Linked DNA regions of Macaca mulatta. The protein of the gene in region 2 interacts with the protein of the main gene of each other region in a pairwise test. Links are inferred from orthologs where the notes say so. Each region holds a gene or a part of one and is shown on either strand. Other genes may lie near its edges.

Evidence for each region.
Region 1: the proteins of NUP58 (region 2) and keratin, type I cuticular Ha3-II interact in binary tests that used the Homo sapiens proteins (3 or more experiments, as listed by UniProt). The link is inferred for Macaca mulatta from reciprocal best matches to the Homo sapiens genes NUP58 and KRT33B.

The regions. Positions count from the first base shown.
Region 1 is NC_133421.1:65,705,610-65,711,293, forward strand, and holds the end of keratin, type I cuticular Ha3-II, read right to left. Parts: intron 4,611-5,684; coding exon 4,454-4,610; intron 3,542-4,453; coding exon 3,380-3,541; intron 3,287-3,379; coding exon 3,161-3,286; intron 2,985-3,160; coding exon 2,764-2,984; intron 1,940-2,763; coding exon 1,822-1,939; 3' UTR 1,484-1,821; downstream 1-1,483.
Region 2 is NC_133422.1:5,528,907-5,534,714, reverse strand, and holds the start of NUP58 (nucleoporin p58/p45), read right to left. Parts: upstream 3,688-5,808; 5' UTR 3,539-3,687; coding exon 3,432-3,538; intron 1-3,431. UniProt on the Homo sapiens protein: Component of the nuclear pore complex, a complex required for the trafficking across the nuclear membrane.

The sequences.
Region 1 (5,684 bases), on a different chromosome or scaffold from region 2:
GAACTCTCCCTGAGGAAAGAGAGGCTAGAGTCCACAAACTGGGTCTAAGACATTCTGAGCAGAGCATGGAGTATCACTCAGATGATCTTCCAAGGTCTCCTGCCTAAGCCGCAGCAACATCAACAACAAAGGAGTAGATATTAAATGAACTAGAATATGAGAGCGCAAGAATGTAAGACTGGCCAGGCACAGTGGCTCACACTTGTAATCCCAGCAATTTGGGAGGCCGAGGTAGGCAGATCGCTTCAGCCCAGGAGTTCAAGACCAGCGTGGATAACCCAGCTTGTCTCTACAAATAATACAAAAATTGGCCATGCGTGGTGGCGCATGCCTGTAGTCCCATGTACTCAAGAGGCTGAGGTGGGAGGATAGCCTGAGCCCGGGGAGTTCAAGGTTGCAGTGAGCCGTGATCATGCCACTGCACTCCAGCTGGGGTGACAAAGTGAGACTCTGTCTCAAAAAAAAAAAAATTTTAAGAATTTAAGACTGACATGTGATGATGGAACCAGCATCATCACAGCAGGGGAGATAGTATAAGCTTCATCTCAAGGAAAGAAGACATAACTAGCAGATTGTTTAATCTGGGGACAATCTGCAGACTGGGGGAGTGGCCTTGGCACAAACCACAACATGCACAGTGATGGGAACCATTAACCTTGGTTAGACATCAGTTAGGCACCAGTAGGAGCCAGGCATCAGTAAAGTGGTCACTGTTAGCATTTGCAGACACCTGACTTGTAATATCCTAATTTGACTCTAAATAACTTTGAGGGGGAGGGTCCCAAAATTCATATGTAGTTCCCATGGTTAAACAATTCAAGTGAGAAAAGAAACACTTTCAAAATAGGTTGGGTATTGCTCAAATATGGAAGATGGCAAGGTGGTGCTTTTTAGTATTGAGTTATTCAGTATTTCACAAAGGAGAGTTTCAAAGATGCTTTGAGCACTAATAGCATTGTGTCTCCCCAGGAGGATGTATAAACTCTGGGTGCTTGTTTGAAATCAGTTTTATCCTCTCATAGTCACACCTTACGTGTAACTGACAAGCAGAGAGTGAACTCTGGGTTCAGTCCTGCCATTGATCCTTCCTCACTGTGAGGAAGAGAAAAAATTAGTAGCACAATTCCTGGTATTTGGTAGGTGTTCAATAAATATTAACTTCTGTCATCCTCTGGTAGGGACTTAAAAGAAAGAGTGGAACTGTCTAGAGATGCTATCCGTTGCATTTTACTGAGTAAGGTCCCATGAGAAATATGTTTATCATATTCAGATGAGGCCTCTTGTCCTAGTGATCCCACTTGTTTTATGCTGGCCTAAGTGGATGCTGGGACTCACTGTGCTTAATGAATGTTAATGAAGGTGATGAAGACCTTTTAGGAGATGATTAACCTATAAAGTCCACCTTCTGCTTTCAAGTGGCTTTATAAGAAGCACACAGAGAGTCAACACTTTGAAAATAATGAATACAAATGAGAATCATGTCTGCTTTGCAAGAGGAAAGTTTATTAGGCGATTTGGGGAACTGCAATAAAGGTAGAAGCAGCAGAGAGAACAAAACACCTCGTATGCCACTGTCACAGCTCCAACCTCTGACCATCAGAACCCAAACTGAGTACAGGAGAAGGGCTTGGGGTGAGGAGGATCAAGTGGGCCTAGGTTCAGAGTCAGACCCAAACGCTGAGCATTTGTTCTCCTTCCAGACCATAATTTGTGGTGATGCCTTGGGGTGGGGTCTGGTGGCTGATGGTTGTCGGAGATGTGGAACTGGCCCATCGATGGTAGTTCTGTCTTCATGCTATACTCCTGCTGGCCCCAGAGTATCTAGCACCCAAAGGTGTTGCAGGGCCCACAGCGGGAACGAGGACCACAAGCATTGGTGACACAGGATCCAATGGACTTTTCATATGCATTGGTGGTGGCGCAGGGGTTGGAGGGCAACCTGGGATGCAGAAGCATTATACTGTCAGCATGAGAAGGGTGATTCAAACAAGGGAGGCTCAACCCAAAGAAACATAGAAACAAGCAGAAATCGTTCTCTGATGTCCTAGGAAGCCATGCCTTGTTTGGATCACTTCTTCTACAGAGTTCTGATACAATGGCAGAAATGAGCAAAGAACATGTAAGGTGGAATGCCAGCCTTCCTTCTATGACCCTGGACACACAAGAAAGTCACTTCCTCCTTCTAAGCCTCAGCTTTCCCACCTGTAAGGTAGGACTGGTAGTACCAACCACACAGGATTATGAAAATTCCACAAGATTGTGTTCGTAAAAATATTATGTTCGCTGGCAATTGCCGTATTGATAGTGATTGATCATCATCCCTATTGACACTCAAATGCTCATCTATAAGATGGTGATAATGAGTCCCATTCTGCTGCCTCAGATGATTCTAACAAGAATTAATGAAATGGAGGATTTGAAAGTTCCATTTAAATCAGAAAAAGTGATCATTGTTACAGTTTTGTTTTCCTTTTTGTGGTGACAAGACAGTCTTGAAGATAGAAAGATTTATTTGCCCATCAGCATCCAAAAAATCTCTGCTGGAGGAAGCAGTCAAGTCCCATGTCTATCTTTTGTAAAAGAAAATATATTTAGCCCGGGTAATGTTAGCAATAAATATCCAATACTTCCCACAGCTGTAATATAAAACTCTGGCCTCTACAGACAGGTTGGCATCTGAAACTTTATCTTCAAAGTCCCTGTTTTATCCTACAGTAGAATAGTGACTGTGCCTTGCAGGGGTGCCGCCCACCAGGTACTCACTTGCAGTCCTCGCTCTCCAGGAGGCTCCGGTACGTGTTGATCTCACACTCTAGCCGGGCACGCACGTCCAGCAGCACCTGGTACTCCTGGTTCTGCCGCTCCAGGTCACAGCGGATCTCCGCCAGCTGCGACTCCACGTTGGTGATCAGGCTCTGCACCTGGGACAGCTGGGAGCTGTAGCGGGCCTCGCTCTCCGTCAGCGTGTTTTCCAGAGAGTTTCGCTGTGGTGGGGAAGATCAGGAATGTCAGAGAGCTGCTCCTTGTAGGGTTCCTCCATGGAGTTCCAAAAAACTCACAAGTTCCAAGGAGCTAAGGAGAGTGTGTGGCCCCAAGGATGTCCCCAGGACTCTGCCTCCCAACTTCCCATCATTCACCAGCAGGGCTGAACAATACACACCAGGTTGTGCTGGGCCTGCAGCTCAATCTCCAGGGCGTTGACCGTGCGTCTCAGTTCAATGATCTCCGCCTGGTAGGACTGCAGCTGCTCTGCGCTGGATACCACCTGCTTGTTCAGCTCCTCGGTCTGAAACACCCAAGGGGAGAAAGGATCAGACCCTGCCTCCAGGGCGGTAGGGTGGGCCTCAGTTCCTGAGTGGCCATGTGCTTAGATGCCCACCTGCGTGGCGAACCATTGCTCCACTTCCCTGCGGTTGGTTTCCACCAGGGCCTCATACTGACTCCTGGTCTCGTTCAGGACCTGGTTCAGGTCCACAGCAGGGGCAGCATCCACCTCCACATTGAGGCGGTCTCCAAGCTGGCAGCGCAAGGTGTTGACCTCCTAATGGAGAAAAGGGAAGAAATAAACCCACAGAAAGAAGTCTATCAATAACCTCTTTGAGGCAGTTCAATATAATGGGAAGAGGATTGCATTGCAACTTAGGAAACATGAGTTGAAGCCCAGCTGCCACCTCTGGAGATTCTGGCCTCTTCTCTGAATCCCTTCCCTCATCTGTATGATGAGGCTGCTTCATTAAATGATTGCTAGTATTTCTACCCAATCTAAGATTCTATCATTTCTTTTTTATTTCCCCTTTGCTCAGTGATGAGCCTGGCATGATAATTGGCTTACAATTGTTGCTACTTAAATATAGAGAAACCAGGTTTCGTTCCTCCTATTTATTTCATGGGATACTACTAGAGTATGACACATGTTTTCATCATGAAAACATCTAATGTTTGAGACATGCATCTGATTTCCTGTATTGCATTCAGCCATGAGATCTGAGTCAACCATTATTTGAGTTATTTCATTTCTTCTGTTTTTCCCATCGCTCAGTTCATCCATCCATCCATTCATCCATCCATCCATTCATCCAGCTTGAGTTCTAGTTATCTAGATGAAACAGAGTATAAGAATATTTTCTATCTCCTTCCAGTCTCGGTCTTTAACACGGCACTTCTTCAGAAGCTAATAGATAGCATCAAACAGTAGACAGTAGTTTAAAGATATTTGTGTGATCTTTCAGCCTTACATGTCTGGGTCCCAAGGGGAAATAGGTCAGCTTACCACACTCCTTTATGTAAAAAAGGGAAGCTGTCACTCATTCCCCAACAAGTCCCAAAGTACGTTTTGAGCAACCAGCAAAATGTTGTTAGGTCTAGGGTGCTTAGCAAATCAAGACCTACCTTATCCTATTCAGGGGGATCACAGAGCTCTCAGTATTGGGATATTGGGGGCTAGGACTCTTACCTGCTCATGGTTCTGCTTGAGGGACAGCAGTTCCTCCTTCAGGGACTCCACCTGGGCCTCCAGGTCAGACCTGCACAGGGTCAGCTCATCCAGAATCCTGCGCAGACTGTTGATGTCAGACTCCACCAGCTGCCTCAGGGACAGCTCCGTCTGGTACCTGCACACACAGCCAGAGGTCAAAAGAGGTCAAAAAAAAAAAAAAAAAGTCTTTGTTTCCTAGGCTTTACTTGGCTGACTTAGTCAATTTTATTATATTTTGAAATATTTTGAATTTTAAAAATATTAAGGGAGAAAATACTCCTGTACTGAGTGAGAAGGCCTATTTTGTCACTGAGACACACATAAAAGGTATTGGTGGGATGCCTGTGGATAGTTTAGTCTAACATGAACTGCATTTGTTCTAAAAATCTTGTTTACAAGTTGCTGTCAACTAAGCCCTGCTGTTTTTGCCATCTCAAGTGAATCAGCGCCCTTCGTAAGCCTGCTCCAGGTTGTCCTGCCATCCTTTCCAGCCTTGCCAAGAAACAATTTAGTGTTGTGGAAGAAACACTGAATTCAGAGTCAGTTAGAGCCAGTCTTGTCATTGAATGACTGTAGATAGATACTTTAATCTCTCTGAGCCTTGATTTCCTCAACTGTAAAATGAAGACAAAACTAACACCTCACAGGGTTGGACTGAAGATGATATAGGTAAAATTATATTGTAAACTGTAAGATTCCAGGAAAATGCAAAGGATTCTCATGATTGTAATAATGGTCATACCTAAAAGTATTGATTGATTCTCTGAAAGGAAATGGATTTTGCCTTCTGTTTTTGTGGTTTAATAACTTCTTTTTGGTGGGTTGACAGTGACTAACGTATACAAAGAGATCAATGTGAAAATCACTTTTAAACTTAGTCCAGACATTGGGTTGAAAAGGAAGAAGAACGGATGTTGTCTTACAATCAAACTTAAAGCACAGGGCTGCGCACAGTGGCTCATGCCTGTAATCCCAGCACTTTGGGATGCTGAGGTGGGTGGATCACTTGAGGTCAGGAGTTCAAGACCAGCCTGGCTAACATGGTAAAACCCCGTCTCCACTAAAAATACAAAAATTGGCGGGGCCTGGTGGCACATGCCTGTAATCCCAGCTACTAGGAAGGCTGAGGCAGGAGAATCACTTGAACCCGGGATGCGGAGGTTGCAGTGAGCCAAGATCGCATCACTGCACTCCAGCCTGGATGAGAAAG
Region 2 (5,808 bases):
AAGTGAGCGCGACAAGCAAAAGAATATAGTATGTAATGGCTATATCCAGACAACATAGGTACAACCATAAAAGGGCCATATATGCCAAAACATTTAGCTTCGCTGTGGTCAGTCTGATCGTATTGTTATTTTGAAACTGTTGTGTATATAATGTGGAGTAGAATAAATGAGTATCTGGGGGATACTAAAACATTATTGGTGGCTGGGCGCAGTGGCTCACGCCTGTAATTCCAACACCTTGGAATGCCGAAGAGGACGGATCACCTGAACCAGGAGTTTGAGACCAGCCTGGCCAACATGGTGAAACCCCGTTTCTACTAAAAATATCAAAAAAAAAAAAAAAAATTAGCCTGGTGTGGTGGTGTGCCTGTAATCCCAGCTATTCGGGAGGCTGAGGCAGGAGAATCGATTGAACCCAGGAGGCGGAGGCTGTAGTGAGCCGAGATTGCGCCACTGCACTTCAGGCTAGGTAACAAGAGCAAGACTCTGCCTCAAAAAAAAAAAAAAAAAAAAAAAAAGGGCCAGGCGCAGTGGCTCACACCTGTAATCCCAGTACTTTAGGAGGCCGAGGCAGGTGGATCATGAGGTCAGGAGATCAAGACCATCCTGGCTAACACGGTGAAACCCTGTCTCTACTAAAAATACAAAAAAAATTAGCCGGGCGTGGTGGTGGCGCCTGTAGTCCCAGCTACTCAGGAGGCTGAGGCAGGAGAATTGAGTAACCCAGGAGGCGGAGCTTGCAGTGAGCCGAGATTGTGCCATATATATATATACATATATATATTTTTTAATGTCTTGACAACATAACTGAAGATATTATGAAATATTACATAATTAAAGTTGAAAATGCTGCCAAAGAAACACATCAAAATGAAATTTTACTCTATCACAAAAGCAAAAGAGAAATTTTGGTGTCAGTGAAATTTACTAAACTCAAGAAAAGCAAAAGCTACCCTAGACTTGACCAATTATTGCCTCAAACCAATGTTATGTGCCAAGCACTTGATAGGATGTGCTGTATAAAAACCAACTTGACTCAATCACATCAGGAATGTTATTTTAACTTGCCAGCTTGCCCTAATGCGGACTTGGCAGCTAACATAATAGCTAACATTTACTGAGCACTTAGCAAGTGCCAGACTTGATGCTAAATATTCAAATGCTTCATCTCACTCATCAACTCAGGTAACCCACTCCTGAGTTGAGGAGTTCCAGATGTGAGAACTCCCCTAAAATGACCGACCTCAAGACATCAAATCACCAGGTGGCACTAGGGGCTGTCAGGCCTCCCAACCAGCACTCTAACAAATTTATGTCAGACTGTCTCCTCTTTCACTAATTTATCCAAGCCTCTCTAAAACTTGGGTAATTTTTTATAACTTATTACTAATAACTCATTTGCTCAGTCATTCAAATTGTTACTAAAGCCCTTTTTCTATGCCAGGCACTGTCCTTGGGACTGAGGAAGAGGTGGTAAGACTCAGACCCTGCCCTCAGGCAGTTTCTAGTTAGTGAGAAACACAGATATTAATTATTCTAGAGCTGAGATCTGACAACAAACAAGTTAACAATAAATGTAACAAACTGATTACAATTGTGATCAGCACTCTAAGAGTACTAGGAGAACAGAAATCTCCCCTAGACTGACAGGTCAGAAAAGGCCTCTCTGGGGAAAAAGACCATTTGATACTGGCAAGGAAGGGGCTGGCAAAGCCCACTTGAAAAGAGAAAAGGTCATGTTGCTAGGACAGGCTTTCTCACACTAAGATCAGGACCATGAGAGAAATATAAAAATTAATTCAAGTCATAAACAACATTAAAAAAAAAGAAATAGAATAGAAAATATCAAAGTGCATCCCATGAAGTAGGGGTTAGTATCTTTCTCGGAAACTTTATTTCAGTGATTTATTTGTGTGCAGGTAGTGGTGCACCGGGTGGTAGTTGCGTGTTTGTTTTTAACAGTGGGTCTGGATAACTAAAATAAAAAGACGGGCTCAAGATGAGTACCCAGAGGTTCCAGCAGAAGTGGACCTTGCAGACTATGGTAAGTTTTTTTGTTTGTCTGTTTTCTTTAACTTCACTCTAAAGATAGCGGGAAATGATTAAAGGGGGGAGCAATGACAATGTTTTAAAAAAAATTACTCTGGCTACAATGTGGCAGAACAGATTGAAGAAGTTGATTGGAGTAGTTTTCATCTAAAACAAGAAAGACAGCTGGTTAAAAATCTGACAAGAATCAGAAGTACTTTCGTAAGAATGTTAAGGATCAAGAGAGCAAGACTCTTAATACCTAAAACAGAGCCCTGCACATGGGAATCTGTCCAATAAATATTTGTTCCATGAATGATAATAGCCTGAGCAGGGTGGTGGAACTGGAAATAAAGACAAACGGAAATGGCAGAAGTAAAATTATTAGGACCTGCTGTTGAGCGAGTAAGAATAACGGAGGTACGGATGAAAATTCAAATTTCTGAATTTGACTGTGTAGCCTGTGATTCCTCCTCCCTCCCTTTTTAAACTGCAGGTCATGCTTAAGTTTTTGCCTTTTAAATCTACAGCCGCATCTTTTAAGCTTCAGGAAGTATCTTGTTGACAGTGTGCACACTCCTTAATTTTATGAACCCCTCCACCTTTATCTTTTAAAAAATTGAGTTCTAAAGCTTAAATCTCTCATTAAAATAAATGCCTCACCACTTTGTTTCTTTCTGGACAGTTATGTTTTTGTCGCCACCTGGACTAATGGGTTGCACAAAAACGAGGAACATGCTACCTACGTTTCGTAATTTAAGTAAAAGACAATGTTGAGTGATTACAACACAACATTCTTGCGTCAGATATACTAATCTGCACATAATGCACAAAATTACCACTAAAAAACACTGCAAAGAAGTGTTTTTTGTTGTTGTTGTTTTAACAAAAGCAGATGAGGTCCCATGTGGCACAGAAGCTTGAAAAGCTGGTTAAAAACAACCACAAAGTTATTAAAACACCGTAATATCCAAAACCGCAAATGCTGCAATGAAATTGGAATTATCTACCATAAAACTCCACAACATGCTATAATTTCATTCATTCATTCAACGTTCATTCTACGCCTAAGACTGACGCATCGCTAAAGCTCCGGGGAAGACCCCCAGGCCCCTCCACGCAGTCAAGACCTCACTAGGTCCAAACAATGCCTGAACTATACGCGGATCTGGAAACCTCACAGCACAAAACCCATCCCGCCCTCCACTTCACCAGGCCGCGCTGGGCCCGGGTACCGCGGCGAGCGAGAGGCCTACGACGCCGGGCGGCTAGATTATGTGCTTCTCTCCAGCCTCACCGGGAAGGAAGCCAGCGGGAAGAGAGAGGACGGGGACACGAGGGGAGCTTTGCGGGGGTGGGGCTCGGGGGGAATCCGGCCCAGGAAGGTGAGAAAGTGCGGTTACCTAGATGCTCCCGTTCCGAAGGAGAAACCGCCGCCCGTGCCGGTCCCGCCTGCGGCCACGGTGGTGGAGCCCAGAGTCCCGGACCCGAAGGAGAACCCTGTGGACATGTCTGCCCGGGGCTCGACGCCGTCAGCAAGATGAAAGGGCTCTGGGACACTGCTCTCGCCTCAAAGCCGAGGCGGGCCGGGGAACATCTCTCTAGCCCGGCACCGACCTGGCGAGAACTTCCAGCCCCAACGGCGGCGAAGGTAAGGCTGAGGGGGTGGAGCAACCACGCAAAAGTACGCCCGTCGCTCGCCGCGCGCACGTAGCCCGCCGGAAGTGAAACCGCCGCGCAGGGAGCTCTGGGACGCCAGTTGGGAGGGGTGCGGGGGGGGGGGGGGTCGGCGAGCCGCGCAAGGCACCCCGGGACCAGGTGGGCTTGGCGCACGGCCCAATCTCTTAAAGGAGTAGGCTCCCAGAGTTTAAAAACAGTGAAACCATTTCTGTCATTTTTTAGTTGTTCTATCGTAGCATCCGTACTGACATAATCTGCACATTAGAATGATGAATGTCAATTACTGCTCATATGTAGCCTCCTGCCAAAAATGATGCTCAGAATCGGGGAGGTCCCTCCTGAGCATCTCCTAGCTCCCCACCCAGAAAAGGAGGCGGCTTCGGGCCTTCGTTGGCTGCCGCCCCATCATCTCTTAAGAAGGAAGGGGAGCGTGTCTGCTTCCTGAAGGTTCGGAAATCAATCGAAAATAATCCATGCAACCGTCCGACGACGTGAGCCCCACCCCTGCGCCTCAGGCCAGCTGGACGCCGTTGTTGCGAGCCCGACGCGCGGCCCTGAAATGGGCCCAGAAGAGCGTCCCCGGCGTCCGTGGGGTGGCCGGCTGTGGTCCTAGCGCCCAGAAGTGGCCAGGCCCGCGGGATTTCCTGGTCTGCGGTCAAGTCCACAAACGCCGTACGCGCATCCTGATGCGGGAGGGCGGGACCTGGGGCCGAGCGCGGGCGGCTGCGCCGGAAGCGCGGTGCAGGGCTGTAGGGCGCGCGGACACACCGCGTGCTGCAGGCACCGTGAAGTGGAAGGTTAGGAAACGCACAGGAACGTGTACGAGAGAAGGCGAGATGTGGAGGGGAACTCACATTTCTAGGGTAACTCAAGAAAAATTCGCGTTTAAAGAGAACCTCTCTGGCGAAGCGTCGGGAAAGGCTTCCTGGTGGTGGTGCATTCGAGGGTGGTTGTCGTAGTGTTCGTTTTTATTTTTCCCTCAGGAATTGTTATATTACCCCCCCCAATGGTGTTCCCACTCGTGATCTCTAACAAAATCCATCCCATAAGCAACCCCCGGATTTATGATCTAAAAAGCCCAGTGGCTCTTTAGTCTGGCACTTGATGACCTCCGTATGAGGAGTCTTTCTAACCTCATCTCACAGCTCTCTGTAATTCAGTACTTTAATCTTGCGTTGAGCTTGGGCATTGCCACCAGCTGTGGACGGAACTATTTCCCTCCTCCCCCAATCCGTATGTTAAAGCCCCGCCCCACCCCGATATGTTGGTATTTGGAGATGGAGCCTTTGGGAGGTAATTCAATTTATATGAGGTCACCCGGGTGGGTCCCCCATGGCGGGATTAGTGCCTTTAAGAGAAAAAACAACAAAGAGCTTGTTCTCCTTTGTGTGCCATGTGAGGACAGAGCAAGAAGGGGCTTTCACCTGGAACCCAAACTGCCCCATCTTTATCTGGGACTTAGTCTCCGGAATTGAGAGAAGTAAATGGTGTTACAGCCACCTCAGTCTATGGTATTTTGTTACATCAGCCAAGCAGACTAATACACCACCTCTGTGTTTGTATAATTGAAACATGTACATTTTATTTTATCTATTTTTTAACTTAATTTATTATTTTTTAAATTTATACTGTATTTTGAGATGGAGTCTCGCTTTGTGGCCTTGGCTGGAATACAATGGCCTATCACTGCAACCTCCGCCTCCTGAGTTCAAGCGATTCTCCTGCCTCAGCCTCCCGAGTAACTGGGATCACAGGCGCACACCACCACGCCCGGTTAATTTCTGTATTTTTTAGTAGAGATGGGGTTTCACCATGTTGGCCAGGCTGGTCTCGAACTCCTGGCCTCAAGCGATCTGCCCACCTCGGCCTCCCAAAGTGCTGGGATTACAGGCGTGAGCCACCGCTCATGGCCATAACATTTTAAACGTCATGGAGGTCATAATGGGAATGATAAAAAAGAAAAAAAGGGATATATTTGGATTAAGATATAAATAAAAACTTCATAGTTATCGAACAGGAGGCAAAAATAAAAGATTGTTGTGAGTTTTAAAGCTTCAGTGATATAGAGAAGGCTATTTTCAGTAATGGCTATAGGGTGGT